Stegostoma tigrinum: one gene and its partner. Each later gene encodes a partner of the first gene's protein in a complex. Links are inferred from orthologs where the notes say so. Each region holds a gene or a part of one and is shown in the gene's direction. Other genes may lie near its edges.

What was found. Proteins that work in one complex are often made in the same cells at the same time.
Region 2: the proteins of kidins220b (region 1) and xenotropic and polytropic retrovirus receptor 1 homolog are in contact, whole or in part, in a cryo-EM structure (PDB 9JXQ), measured with the Homo sapiens proteins. The link is inferred for Stegostoma tigrinum from reciprocal best matches to the Homo sapiens genes KIDINS220 and XPR1. Residues at the interface, in NP_065789.1 of Homo sapiens: Glu36, Cys37, Gln39, Asp70, Trp72, Met102, Trp105, Trp110, Tyr113, Lys114, Val138, Ile142, Trp143, Gly146, Arg147, Ser166, Asp167, Lys168, Tyr169, Gly170, Trp176, Arg179, Lys180, Gln198, Glu199, Gly200, Ala201, Ser203, Lys234, Arg267; in NP_004727.2 of Homo sapiens: Leu95, Lys189, Lys190, Gln193, Glu197, Ala200, Asn204, Glu205, Ala636, Asp637, Asp638, Leu641, Leu642, Gln644, Met645, Met646, Asp647, Gln648, Asp649, Asp650, Val652, Arg653, Asn654, Arg655.

The regions. Positions count from the first base shown.
Region 1 is NC_081357.1:113,752,911-113,760,272, forward strand, and holds the start of kidins220b (kinase D-interacting substrate of 220 kDa B), read left to right. Parts: upstream 1-4,349; 5' UTR 4,350-4,537; intron 4,538-7,362. UniProt on the Homo sapiens protein: Promotes a prolonged MAP-kinase signaling by neurotrophins through activation of a Rap1-dependent mechanism. Provides a docking site for the CRKL-C3G complex, resulting in Rap1-dependent sustained ERK activation.
Region 2 is NC_081361.1:8,624,545-8,632,286, reverse strand, and holds the start of xenotropic and polytropic retrovirus receptor 1 homolog, read left to right. Parts: upstream 1-4,742; 5' UTR 4,743-4,762; intron 4,763-5,345; 5' UTR 5,346-5,386; coding exon 5,387-5,455; intron 5,456-7,742. UniProt on the Homo sapiens protein: Inorganic ion transporter that mediates phosphate ion export across plasma membrane.

The DNA.
Region 1 (7,362 bases):
GGGAGTCAGAGGTGTGTTACTCGTTGCAGAATTTTGAGCCTTTGTTTTTGTCACCACATTTATGTGGTTAGTCCAGTTCCATTTCTGGTTAATATAACCCCAGTTTGTTGATGGTAGGGGATTCAATGATGGTAATGCTTTTAAATTTTAAGGAGCGATGGGTACATTCTCCCTTGTCAGAGAGGTTCATTGTCTGGCTTTTATGTGACACAAATGCTGCCTGCCATTTTTCAGCTCAAACTGGAAATTGTGCAGATCTTGCTACAAATTAAGAACATGTGGCCTAAAAAAACCTGGTACATTTACACTAAATTACAGAAAATATCTTAGATTCTGGATTTGGGCCCTGATCCCAGATTCAGAAAGCAATCCCTAATCCCTTACTCTGGTTCTGTACTGGATTCAGAAGCTGGATATTGTCCAGTTCTTGCTACATTTCGACATGGACTGTTTCAGTATCTGAGAAGTTGCAAATGGTGCTCAGCATTGTGCAATCATCACGAGCATCCTGAATTCCGACCTTATGATGGAGGGAAGGTCATTGGCGAAGCAGCTGATGGTTGGTCCCAGGACACAAACAAGAGAAAATCCCTCAGTGACGACCTGGACTTGAGATAACTGACCTCCAAAAGTCACAACCATCTTCTTTTGTGCCGGGTATAACTCCGACCAGCAAAGAATTTGCTCCCTCATTACCAGAGACTAGTTTTTTTTTGGACTGCTCGATGCTGCACGTTGTCAAAGGTGGCAATGACCCTTGTCTAGGCCCGAAACATCAACTTTTGTGCTCCTAAGATGCTGCTTGACCTGCTGTGTTCATCCACCTCCACACTTGGTTATCTCGGAGTGTCCAGCATCTGCAGTTCCCATTATCTCTGGGTGTCAGTGAGCTGGTATTATCTGGTAGCTCTGTTGATAACATTTGATAATTTACTAATGATCAAGAGTTCATTGGACATGGACTATTTCAGTATCTGAAAAGTTGCAAATGGTGCTCAGCATTGTGCAATCATCAGCGAACATCCTGAATTCCGACCTTATGGAGGGAAGGTCATTAGTGAAGCAGCTGATGGTTGGTCCCGATCAATTACTGGTGGGCTGGTTTGGATGTGCCATGCTTTTTGTGTACAGGGCCAACCTGGGTGATTTTCAGAGTACTTGGAACAGCTTGGTTATGTTTGCAGTGAGTTCTGGAGCATAGCTCTGCAGTATAATTCCCAGAAAGTTGTTAGAGGCCATAGTCTTTGTTGGATCCAGTGCCTCTAACCATTTTTTGAAATCATTTGGAGTGAATCATAATTTCTGAAGATTGGTATCTGTGATGCTGGCACTTCTGGAGAAGGCTGTATTGGTGATCTCTGATCATGGACTCTGGTTGTGATCCTGGACTCCGCTTTTGATCTGGGACTTGGGTTATGATCCCAGACTCTGCCTGTGATACCAGACTTTGGTGTGATTTGAGATCTTAGGTGCGATCTGGTACTCAAGCTGTGAACTGGGACTTGGGTTGTGTTCCAGGACCTGTGTGGTGATGCAGGTTCTGATCCAGGACATAGAATGAGATCTGGGGGTCAGCTTGTGATCCAGGACTCTGATTGTGATTTCAGTCTTGGACCGTGAGTTTGCAACTGGATTGTGAGCCAGATTCTGGTTTTGATTCTGGATGAGCTGAACTTCCGGAGGTAGGCTGGGATCCTGAATCCTTGTGAGATCCCAGACTTGGGCAATGATCTGGGAGTTGGGTCATCACCCCAGACTTGGTTGGAATCCCAGAGTCATTGAAGTTTCCAGACTCAGGCTAGGCTCCCAGACTCTGCTGTGAACTTGGACATGGGCTGGGATACCGGACTTTGGTTGTGATTCAAGATCATTGCCCAGGTTCAAGATCCTATCCCCAGAACAGGATCCCAGAGGTCACAGTGTAAGGATACAGGGTAAGTCATTTAAGACTGAGATGAGGAGAAATTTGTTAACCCAGGTGAGTTTGTGGAATTCTCTGTCACAGAAAGCAGTTGAGGCCAAAACAGTGAGTGTTTTCAAGGAGTTAGATGTAGGTCTTCTGGCTAAAGGGATCAAAAGGTATAGGAAGAAGGTGGTCCTGAATAGGATGAGCAACCATTGAGGTGTTGGTGGTCTTAAAACACATAAATGTAGATAAATCTCTGGAACCCTATCAGTTGTATCCCAGGACATTGCGGGAAGCTAGGAAAGAAATTGCAGGGTTCCTAACATAAACATTTGTATCATCTACAGTCACAGATGAGGTGCTGGAAGATGGGAGGGTGACTAATCTCATCAGATTGTCACTTCAGCTCTGATGAAAAATCATCTAGATTCAAAACATTAGCTTGCTCTCTCTCCATGAATGCTGTCTGACCTGCTGTGATCTCCAGGATTTGTTGTTTTCAGTAAGATACCAGCATTTGCAGTAATTTGTTCGTACCTAGAGAGTGACTAATGTTGTGCCATTATTTAAGAAAGGCTGCAAGGAAAAACCAGGGAACTACAGACTGGTGAGCCTAATGTCAGTGGTGGGTAAATTGTTGGAGGGGATTCTTAGAGATAGGGTCTACATGCAACTGGAAAGGCAAAGACTGATTAGGGAAAGTCATGATAGCTTTGTGTGTGGGAAAAGTTGCTCTCAAATTTGACTGAGAGTTTTGAAGAGGTGACCAAGAAAACAGATGAAGGCAGGATGGTGCACCTTGTCTACATGGACTTTAGCAAGATCTTTGACAAGGTCCTGCATGGTTCAAGGTTAGTAAAGTTAGATTATATGGGATCCAGGGAGATGTAACCAATTGGATACAAAATTGGATTGATGGTAGGAGACAGAGTGTACTGGTAGTGGGTTGTTGTTCAGACTGGAGGCCTGTGACCAGTGGATTGGTACTAGGTCCACTGTTGTTCATCATTTATTTGAATGATTTGGATGAGAATGTAGGAGGCATGGTTAATAAATTTGACAGTGACACCAAAATTAGTGGTATAGGAGATAGTTAAAAAGGCTATTAAGAGGGCAACAGGATTTTGGTCAATGGGGCCAGCAGGTCGAGGAATGGCAGATGGAGTATAATTTAGATAAATGCACGGATGATTTGTGTTGACTGCTTGCTTCTGTGCTGTATGACTCTAATTTTATTGAATGATGCAGCAGGCTTTAACAGCTGAATGCCCAGCTCCTGTTCGGATATTTCTGTCCCAGCCTGCATCTCAGCTTGCTGACCAATTCCCAGATCACTGCTTGATTCCAGAATCTCAGTCTGAACCTGGACCATATCCTTGTCTGGGATCATAGCCTGAGTCCTAGATCACAACTGGATTTATAGTTCTCTGCCCATATCTTGGATCCCGTCACGAATCCAATATTGCAGCCAGGTGCCGGCACTGCAACTGGATTTCAGGATACCAGCTGAAGCTGAGATCAGAACTGATTCCTGCATCCCTGCCCAAGTCCGAGATCACAGTCAGAATCCAGGATACCAGCTCGAGTTTGGGATCTCAGTCCTAATCTAGGATCATAATCAGAGATCCCCAATCTGTCTGGGATCTTTGCCCAAGTCTGAAATCCCAGCCCAAGTATCAGATCACAAGCAGAGTCTGGGTGCCCAGTCCATGTACCAGCTCAAAGCCCAAGTCGGGGACCGTAGACCAAGTCCAGAGCTTAGATCGAGTTTGGGATCTCCGTCAAAGACCAGGATCACAACCCCAAGTGATTCCAGGAACCCAGTCCTTGTCCTAGATTACAACTGGAGTCCAGATCACGAACTGCGTCTGCAATCATTACCCAAATCCAGGCCTTCAGATCACCAGTCGAGTTCTGGATCCCAAAGCTACTCCTCAATCACAGAAGATGATTTCAGGTTCGCTACCTATCCAAAACCATGACCCCAGAATCCGGTTGTAATCTGGCACTGGGGTTGTATTTCGGAATTCAGGCTGTGATCCAGGGCCGAGGGCCCGATCTGAGACTCGGGTAGTGATCTGTGAATTGGGATGGGATCATGGAGCTGGGATGTGAACCTGTAATCTGACTTTAATCCGGGACTCGGGCTGTGATAACAACCTCTGGTTCTGACCCAGGACAAGGGCAGCGATCCCGGATTCAGGTTGTGGTCTGCGGGTGGGGCTGTAATCGCAGATCTGGGCAGTGATCTTGTGTGATCTCCAGCCGTCATCCCTATTGATCTCGGGGAGTGATCCCGTATGACCTGGGGCAGTGATCCCAATTGGTTTGTCGGGCAGACATCACAATGAACTGCGGCAGCGGTCCCAGCCAACCCCGGGCAGTGATCCCGGATGATCTGGGTTTGGGCGCCTCCTGCTGCTGGGAGGGTGGTGACGTCGCCGCAGTCGAGTCCACGTGACCTGTGTTCGGGCGGCGGCGGCGGAAATGGCGGCCCGTCAGGAGGTGGCGACGCGAGTGGAATAAGAGAGACACAGAGAAGGGGTACGGAAAGGAGTTGGTCGTCGTGTACGTTTTCCGTGAAGCGGAGTGGTGAAAAGTGGGCGAGTAAACCGGAGCCTTTCGAAAACGGTACGAGCCTGATGTCTTTGTTATGTTTGCGGGGCGGGCGCAGTCGGTGAGCGAGCTCCGGCCGCGGGTGGAGTTCCTGGGTCGGTGGGTCCAGTCCCTTCTGCCTATTTCCCCCGGCGATTTTTGAAACGAACAGCCGGCTCGCGCGGCTAACGTTCACTGTGTGTGTTCTGGAACGCGACAGTGGCTCATTGTGACGTGCAGGCGGCCGGAATGGATGACCCGGATCGGCTCGGGGGTCACTGCTTCTTCGGCATCCATACATCCATCTGATCAGCTGACAGCAGGTGCATCCACCGCTTCATCATGTACCTGCCGAGTTATTACATATTTGGAAAATGATTTACTTTACTCCTTTTTATTGCTGTAATTACCTCTTTGGAACAAATGATTATAGGGAAGCGGATTTCTTTTTTAAAGAGTGTCATCAAAATACGTTTTAGTGTAACCTGTTTCCTGAGAACAAAAAAAACCCTCCTCCCTCCAATAAAGGCAAATCTAATTTCATCTGCCTTTGTATCAGGGTGCACTGAATCGATTCGAACGGTTGTCATTCAGCAACTCTGGTAATGCTGTCGATTCTAATTCAGTGGGAGATAACTAGTGTACTATGTCAAATAAATGTTTAGCCTGTGGGCAGAGTCAATTAAGTTATTTGTTAAGGGCCTTTATTTTGGAAGGTTGACATTGGTTGTGTTTTCTGTTCCTTGGTGCTATTATTTTTATATAATAAAATGTGATTGTTAATGTATACAAATCATTTGTACAAGGAGCAATGAAGTATTAATTTATATATGAATATACAAAATGGTAGCAGGAATATGCCACTTTGTTCCTTTATTCTGCCATACAGTCAGGTCGTGGTTCATCTGATTACTTTCCCTAATAATCTTTCCCCCCTTTACTTATGAATAATCTATCCATCCTTGCCTTAAGCGTGCTCAAAGACTCTGCATGTACAGCCTTTTGAGGGAAACCATCCACAGACTCTATATTTAAAAAGCACTCCTCTCTGTCATAAGTGGACACCCCTCGTTTTTAAATAGAGACCCTCTATTTCTGGATTCTCCCTGTAGGAAACATCATTTCCATATAACAGAGGTCTTGACAGGGTGGACATGTTTCAATGAAGCTATTTCTTTCTAGCTCAATCTGTGGCGAGTACGAACCTAGCTATTCCAGTTTTCCTTTGAAAGCAACTTGCTATTCCACATTTTAGTCCAGTAAAGCTCTGAATTGCTTCTAACACACTTACCTCCATTGTTAAATAAAAGACCAATACGCAACTCTGCATGTGGTTTCAGCAATACCCTGGTTAACTGAAGCATGTTCTCCTACTTTTATATTCAGTTCTCCTTGCAGTAAACTGTGCATCTTATTAGCCTTCCTAATTACTTGTATCTTCAATCTAGTGTTTGTGATTTGTGCTAGGACAAGTGATGTCTTCATTCCTAGTTTGTAGAAAACGTAAATGCTTAAATGTTATCGAATTGTTCAATTCTTGCAGTTTTGTGAGTGAAAAGAGAGGAAAGGAATCTAGTAAGAGAAAGATTAATGCTAAATAGTATCAGACTGGAAGTGCCTAGCAAATTCTGCGAACTTTGTCTCATTACTGTAGATGCATCTGTCCCTTTAATGGAATGCTTTAATCAATACACAGGGAAAGCAGGTACCACATTTGGCCAAGTCGTGAAATATGCACAATGTAACGGAAAGCTAACCTTCAAGACAAATTTGTTGATTTATAGTGCCAATGACCTCGGCACTTTGGATGGCTTTGAAACAAGTGACCAAGTGAGGAAGAGATAGTAGGATCTGCAGATGCTGGAGAATCTGAGATAACAAGGTGTAGAGCTGAATGAACACGGCAGGCCAGGCAGCTCCAGAGAAGCAAGAAAGCTGACAATTCGAGGGTCTAGGCCCGAAATGTCAGCTTTCCTGCTCCTTTGATGCTGCTTGGCCTGCTGTGTTCGTCCAGCTCTACACCTTGTTATCTCAGACCAAGTGAAAAAGTTCAGTAACTTCTGTCTTCCCTCTCTGAGACGCATGGCAAAACAAAACCATGAATGTGTCAGACCTCTCAAAGGCAGACCTCTCAAGTATGTTGACTCAAGTCAAGCAATGCAACATCAGTACTTTGAATTTCTCCACAGGCTGGAAGATAGCCACGTACCCGACAGTCTTCTGTACAATCAGATAGCTGGAGCCAGAAGTTGAACATCCCAACCTCTGTTTCACACCTCAGAATCATGACATGAAAGCTCTAAACAATGACTGTTGTGTCTTAAATAATGAGTGAAAGTAAGAGGTGGCGACCCTTTTGGTGTTGATGTCCACAAACCTGATGATCAATGGCTTCTGTAGTTTGGCAACCGATGCTAATTTTGAAAGAGACCCAGAACATAATTTGTTGGCTTCATGTGTTTCTGTCATGGCAGAATCTGCTATTAGCAATTGGCCTTCACAGGCGTCAGCACAAGTGCACCATTGAAGACACCCAGCTAGATGAGTTGTTTGCAGCGTGTCTAACATCCTTTATACATGGAAGGATACCAACCCTTTCGGTATAGTACAAGTTTTTGTAAATTGTGACATGATGTTTAAAGTGAACGTGGATATTTACGAGAAAAACAGAAAATGCTGGAAATACTCACTGGGTGTGACTGTATCAGTGCAGTGTTTTCAGTGTTTTCTATTTTCACTTCCTTTCTAGCACAGTCTCAGTCAGTACATGCCATTTCTTTTGTCATTATTTACAAATACATATGTGGTCTTACACTATAATCTGTTCTCTGTACCAGTTTGCACCCTATGTTTTTTAAATT
Region 2 (7,742 bases), on another chromosome or scaffold:
CGCAATACTCCAAGTGTGGCTGCACCAGAGTTTTGTACAGCTGCAGCATAACCTCTTGGTTGCGGAACTCAATCCCTCTATTAATAAAAGCTAAAACACTGTATGCCTTCCTAACAGCCCTGTCAACCTGGGTGGCAACTTTCAAGGATTTGTGCACATGGACACCGAAATCTCTCTGCTCATCTACACTACCAAGAATCTTACCATTAGCCCAGTACTTTGCCTTCTGGTTACTCCTACCAAAGTGCATCACCTCACACTTGTCTGCATTAGACTCCATTTGCCACCTCTCAGCCCAGCTCTGCAGCTTATCTATGTCTCTCTGCAACCTACAGCATCCTTCGTCACTATCCACAACTCCACCAACCTTAGTGTTGTCTGCAAATTTACTAACCCATCCTTCTACGCCCTCATCCAGGTCATTTATAAAAATGACAAACAGCAGTGGACCCAACACCAACCCTTGCGGTACACCACTAGTAACTGGTCTCCAGGTTGAACATTTCCCATCAACTACCACCCTCTGTCTTATTTCAGCAAGCCAATTTCCGATCCAAACTGCTATATCTCCCACAATTCCATTCCTCCGCATTTTGTACAATAGCCTATTGTGGGGAACCTTATTAAACGCCTTGCTGAAATCTATATACACCACATCAACCGGTTTACTTTCATCTACCTGTTGGGTCACCTTCTCAAAGAACTCAATAAGGTTTGTGAGGCACGACCTTCCCTTCACAAAACCGTGCTGACTATCCCTAATCAATTTATTCTTTTCCAGATGATTATAAATCCTATCCCTTATAGCTCCTTTTCCAACACTTTACCTACAACTGAGGTAAGGCTCACTGGTCTATAATTACCAGGGTTGTCTCTACTCCCCTTCTTGAACAGGGGAACCACATTTGCTATCCTCCAGTCATCTGGCACTATTCCTGTAGACAATGACGAGTTAAAGATCAATGCCAAAGACTCGGCAATCTCCTCCCTGGTTTCCCAGAGGATCCCAGGATAAATCCCATCCGGCCCAGGGGACTTATCTATCTTCACCTTCTAAAGGATTTCTAATACCTCTGCCGTGTGAACCTCAAACCCACCTAGTCTAGTAGCCTGTATCTCAGTATTCTCCTCGACAACATTGTCGTTTTCTAGAGTGAATACTGTTGAAAAATATTCATTTAGCGCTTCCCCTATTTCCTCTAACTCCACACACAACTTACCACTACTATCCTTGATTGGGCCTAATCTTATTTTCGTCATTCTTTTATTCCTTAAATACCTATAGAAAGCTTTAGGGTTTAGCCTGATCCTATCCGCCAACAACTTCTCATGTCTCCTCCTGGCTCTTCTGAGCTCTCTTTTTAGGTCTTTCCTGGCTACCTCGTAGCCCTCAAGTGCCCTAACTGAGCCTTCACATCTCATCCTAATATAAGCCTTCTTCTTCCTCTTGACCAGAGATTCCACTTCCTTCGTAAACCACGGCTCCCGCGCTCTACAGCTTCCTCCTTGTCTGACAGGTACTTATCTATCTAGGACACACAGGAGCTTTTCCTTGAATAAGCTCCACATTTCTAATGTGCCCATCCTCTGCTGTTTCCTTCTCCATCCTGTGCTCCCTAAATCTTGCCTAATCTCATCGTAATTGCCTTTCCCCCAGCTATAAGTCTTGTCCAGTGGTATACACCTATCCCTTTCCATCACTAAAGTAAACATAACAGAATTGTGATCGCTATCACCACAAAGTGCTCACCTACTTCCAAATCTAACACCTGGCCGGGCTCATTACCCAGTACCAAATCTAATGTGGCTTCGCCCCTTGTTGGCCTATCTACATACTGTGTCAGGAAGCCCTCCTGCACACTCTGGACAAAAACTGACCCATCTATAGTACTCCCATCTATAGTGTTCCCAGTCAATATCTGGAAAGTTGAAGTCCCCCATGACAACTACCCTGTCTCTCTCACTCCTATCGAGAATCATCTTTGCTATCCTTTCTTCTACATCTCTGGAACTATTCGGAGGCCTATAGAAAACTCCCAACAGGGTGACCTCTCCTTTCCTGTTTCTAACCTCAGCCCATACTACCTCAGTTGACGAGTCCCCAAACATCCTTTCTGCAACTGTAATACTGTCCTTGGCCAACAATGCCACACCTCCACCCCTTTTACCATCTTCTCTGTTCTTACTGAAACATCTAAATCCCGGAACCTGCAACAACCATTCCTGTCCCTGCTCTATCCATGTCTCCGAAATGGCCACAACATCGAAGTCCCAGGTACCAACCCATGCTGCAAGTTCACCCACCTTATTCTGGACGCTCCTGGCATTGAAGTAGACACACGTCAAACCAACTTCTTGCTTGCCGGTGCCATCTTGCTTCCCTGAAACTTTATTTCGGACCACCGTACTCTCAACCTTTTCTATAGTCGAACTACAATTTTGGTGCCCATCCCCCTGCTGAATTAGTTTAAACCCACCCGAACAGCCTTAGCAAATTTCCCCCCCCAGGATATCGGTACCCCTATGGTTCAGGTGAAGACTGTCTCAGAGCCATAATTGAAGGAGAGAATCAGGCTTTGCCAATTGCTCCTGTTCCCCCCTCCCCCAACCAAGGTCTCGATCGAGGTCAGAAGATTCTGTAAGAACCATGTTAGATTTGCAGGATTGCTGTGTTTTGGTTGACAGTAAGACCCTCAAAAAATTACCAATGTAAAAATCACTCCTTAACTCTCTACCTGAAAAGTTAACTTCAAAATTTTGATTTTTTATATGAAGACATAAGGTACTTTTGTTTAATAAAATGTGAGGCTGGATGAACACAGCAGGCCCAGCAGCATCTCAGGAGCACAAAAGCTGACGTTCTTTTGTGCTCCTGAGGTGCTGCTGGGCCTGCTGTGTTCATCCAGCCTCACATTTCATTATCTTGGATTCTCCAGCATCTGCAGTTCCCATTATCACAGGTACTTTTGTTTCACTAGTTTTTACCGCTTTCAGTATTTATACCCCAAGTCTCTCAACTCAATCACAGTTCCCAGCTTCTCATCATTTAGAATGTACCCCAATCAATCTTTCTCAGGTCCAAAGTGGATGATTTTAGTTTTGCCCACTCACCTAATCCATGTTTGGCCTTTGTGTATTTCTCCTTTCATCTACAATCGTTAGTGCCTTTTAATTTAAGCATCTGGAAACCTGAATATATAAGTCAATATTCTTCATCCAAATCGGTGGTATTTGTAGGAAATAACAATCATTATAACACAAGTCTCTGGAAGACACTGAGTTATATTCAACCAAACAAACTAATAGTCTACTCCATACCTTGTGAATAATTCACTCCCTATGTTGAGAGGTTGCCTCCAAGTTCCTGTCCTTTCTCAATTTCTATGCCTCCTGTGCAGAGTGAATGTTGTGATTCCATCTATTACAATAAATGCACATCAAATAATTCAACACCTCTTATTCTTGGGATCTAAAGGATGTTATATACATGCCAACCTTCTTCAGTTTGTGAATATCACGACCCTGATTTGACAATTGTAGTAAAAGTGAGATACCAGCAGAAACGTTTCATGACAAATACAGAAATGTGTTCCTTACTTGTTTTAAACTGGAGTTTGGGAGAGTGTTTGGGGTGCAAAGCAATGTCCTTGGGCCAATATTTATTCCTTAACCCACAGCACCTAAGACCTTTCATAGGTCCTGAGGACCAGAAATGTTTTTTTCTGGGATCTTTTTTGACAAACTTGATTCTCGTGGCATTTGTAGTAGTATTGCTGGTATTAATAATGCATCACTAATTGCCCTTAAGGAAGTAGTTGGCGGTGAGCTGCTGTTTAAGCCACTGTAGTCAATCCATTTGTTCGGAAGCTCCAGGATTTTGGCCGGATGACACTGAAGAGACAGCGCTATTTTCATGTCAGGGTAGTGAGTGGCTTGGAGGGGAACTTGCAGGTGGTCGTGTTCCCATATATCTCCTGCCCTTGTCCCTTCAGGTGAAGCTTCAATACATTGCCAAATGAAAAATAAATTTCGAATATCGCGTTCTCAAAGTTGCCAGCTCGGAGTTTACCAAAGTCGATTGTGAAGGAAAAGGAAATTAAAAGGAGCCCTGTTCGCGACAATTTGTTCTATTTTCTGCACTGTTTTGACGAATGGCATGAAACTGTAAATCGAGCTCGCAAATCGTCAGTGCAGAGTACTCAATCCCAAAAGTATTTTTAAAATAAATATTAAAATTAATATTAATATTAATAAATACACACAGGCTAACTCGACACCCGTCCAAGCGGGCCCCAGCTCCCGCGAGCGCGCGCGCACCTGTCAACGGCTCGCCGTCCCATAGGTAGAGTCAAGCATGCGTAGGAGGGGCTGGAAAGGGGCGGGGGTGGAAATGGGCGGCGTTACTGAGGCGGAGCTAACAATAGGGGCGTGGCAGGGAAAGGTGTCTGAGAAGCGTGCGAGTAGGGGGAGGGGTTTGGATAAAGGGCGGAGCACAGCTCCAAATGTGCGCGGACGCAGCTTTCTTTGGGCGGAGCGTCGTCCGGTGGAGGCGTGGTCTGGTCACGGTGTGGGCGGGCCGTGGGAGGTGGGTCAGATTGTGTGGTGGGACGTCAGGCTGTGGGGGCGCGGTGCTGTACCTTCTTGTGCGGGGAGTAGCCGAAGGGGGCGTGATTCGGCTCCTGGTTGGACGGGGCGTCGCGTGGTGGGGTCGTGATTCAGTTCACGTTTGGGCGGGGCGCCGCGGGGGCGTGGTGCAGTCCCGGTACGGGGCGTCACGCTATGGTGGCGCGGTGAAGTCCCTGAGTGGCCGGGCGTCATATTGTGGGGCCGCGGTGCTGTCGTGTATGGGCGGGGCGTCGCTTTGTGGGGGCGTGGTGCGGTCATGTTATGGGCGGGGCGTCGCGCGCTGGTGCGCGGCATGCACTGTCGTTAGATGGGAGGGTTTTCCAACGGGAGAGTGGAGAACTGGCCGCCAAGGGGCGGGGCGCAGGTGCCGGCGGCAGAAGTCAGGCTGGGACGGGGGCGGGACCAAGCCTGTAGGCGTTTCCTTGAGGCGTGTCGTCATTGCGCGGTCTCGCGCCCTGCGGTAAGCCGGGAGGCGTGCGCGGTGGCGCGCCTCAGCCAGCTCACGCGCAGGCGCGCTCTAGTTGTGGAGTCTTGTCAGTAAGATGGCGGATGATCGGCAGTGAGTGATGATCTCTTGTTCCGTCTGAGAGAAGGAAGCGAACCACCACAAGGCAGAGAGAGATAGACAGCGGTGCAGTTTCGGCCAGGAATGGTCGTTAGTCAGCGGATGCCCACCAACTGACTGCCTGGATCCTTAACCTGTCCTTGCGTTTATTAAGGCGGAAAGGAGTCAGGACCATCTTCAGGACAAACATCGATCATGAAATTCGCCGAACATCTCTCAGCCCACATCACGCCGGAATGGCGCAAACAGTACATCCAGTACGAGGTGAGCTGCGGCACGATCGGTCAGAAAGCCGCGCGGGTTAGTGGCACAATGGACAGCTCTGAGGGGAGGAGGGTGAGGGAGAGAGACAGACTGGAGGGTGAGGGGGAGGGAGAGACGGACTGGAGGGTGCGATTGCAGGAGTGGGAACTGGAGGGTGTGGGTGAGTATGTGGGTAATGGACAGGATGGCCTGGGGGACAGACTGACAGGTGTGGGGGACGGACTGGCAGGTGTGGGTGAGGGAGGGGGACGGGAGGGAGAGTCATCGAGGAGTTTAGAGGCTGAGGGTGGAGACTGGAGAGGGAGGGAAGAAATCAGTAGTGAGATAGAAGGTGATTTGGGGGGACTGGAAAGAAAGATAAGGATTGGAGAGAGATGGGGAGCGATGGGGAGCAGTTGTTGAATTAAGTGATTGGAGGTGACATGATGGGAAAGGGCTTGAGAGCTGTTAGGCAAGGATGGATTGATTGGAGATACAGAGTGATGGGAACGGCGAGTGAGTGGGGTGTTTAGTGTTGGGATGTTGTCATTGAGAGTGAATATGACGGGAGGGAGTTTGGTCTGTGGAAGGAGAGAGGATGAAGTGTTGGAGATGGAGCTGTACATGATCATCCACACTCTTAAAATTGACGACCTCTGGAAATGCTAAGAACTGCAGATAATAATATCCAATGGTGAACTGTTGTGAATGGGAGGAGATTTCATTTTAAGTATTAGATGCAGTAAATTGATCTTGAAAGGATGAAGGCAGTGTTGAATTGAAAAATAGACACAATTCGTATTATGTTCCGAGACATTCGGGTTTCAAATTGTATAAAAACTTGAATGGTTATTTCACCTTCTAATGTGTAGCTGCCTTAGGAATTATTTCTGCGACGATTATTCTTTGTAAGGCATTAGTAGATTTTTTTTGCATGTTTGCACAACTGCTGGGGAGTGAAATTTTAGTGTCAGGTGCAAGCCTTTGTCATTGAACATTATTATTTGAATGGTATTTATTATGTAATGTTTCAATGGTAATTGATAGATGGGAACACAATTTTTGAATATGGTGTAAATTAAAATTAAAATAATTACAGTGTACCTATGTTTGTGTCTGCAAACACTGAAGAGAATCATTAATATTCAATATAAATGCCTCAAGGTTATAAATGCTGGGATATCTCCACAACACAGTGTGATCAGTGTAGTGTACCAGGAATTTTCGATAAAGAAATGCAGAAAAGAGGGACTGGATTTACAGAGAAATGAGAGAGAAAGGTAAAACTACTTTTGTTTTGTCGGTCAAAGTTCTTGATCCGTGCTTGGTCACAGCAGCCCTAGCTAGAGCTAATCAGTCATGGCCCCCCTCCTGCTATGACCCATGCCCGGGTGTGTTAGTTTACGACTAACAGATGAATAGCTTCATAGAATCACATAGCACGGAGGGAGCCATTTGGCCATCATGCCTGTGCCAGTTCTTGGAAAGAGCTGACTAGTTGTGTAACCTTGTCAATCTTTTCCTTTTCAAGGACATATCAATTGAATTCACATCTGTTTCAGGAAGTGCATTCTACATCGTTGTAAATTGCAGAAAACCAGATTTTTTTATAGCTTGTCAAGCATACTATCTTAGCTCAAACTAAGTTACATAGAACATAGAACATTACAGCACAGTACAGGCCCTTCGGCCCTCGATGTTGTGCCGACCTGTCATACCAATCTGAAGGCCATCTAACCTACACTATTCCATGTACGTCCATACGCTTATCCAACGATGACTTAAAGTTGGCGAATCTACTACCGTTGCAGGCAAAGCGTTCCTTTCCCTTACTACTCTCTGAGTAAAGAAACTACCTCTGACATCTGTCCTATATCTTTCACCCCTCAATTTAAAGCTATAAGTTGCCAGTACAAAACAAACTTTACAATCTGTGAGAAACAAGGAAGGCAGAGTCAAGAATGAGTTTTTTTTAGTGCAGGTTGGTATATTTTTAAAAACAGGCATAGAAAATGTACATCATTCCTCAGCCTATCCCAAACCAATAATCTTCAGAACATTTGATTAATTACAGAACAACCACTTATGAGTTAATTTGTTAATATTGTCTCCACTATATTGTTAGTTATAATTCAACAAAGTATAATGCTATTGTATAATGCTAGGCAAGGATTACACCTCACTGAAAAAATAAATTCTGTAAAAATGGTCTGGAATGACTGTATTGATGAATATCTGTACATGATAGTTGAGCATACAATGACTGTTTTCATTAGAATGAGGACTTATTTTAGAATAGATGCCATGA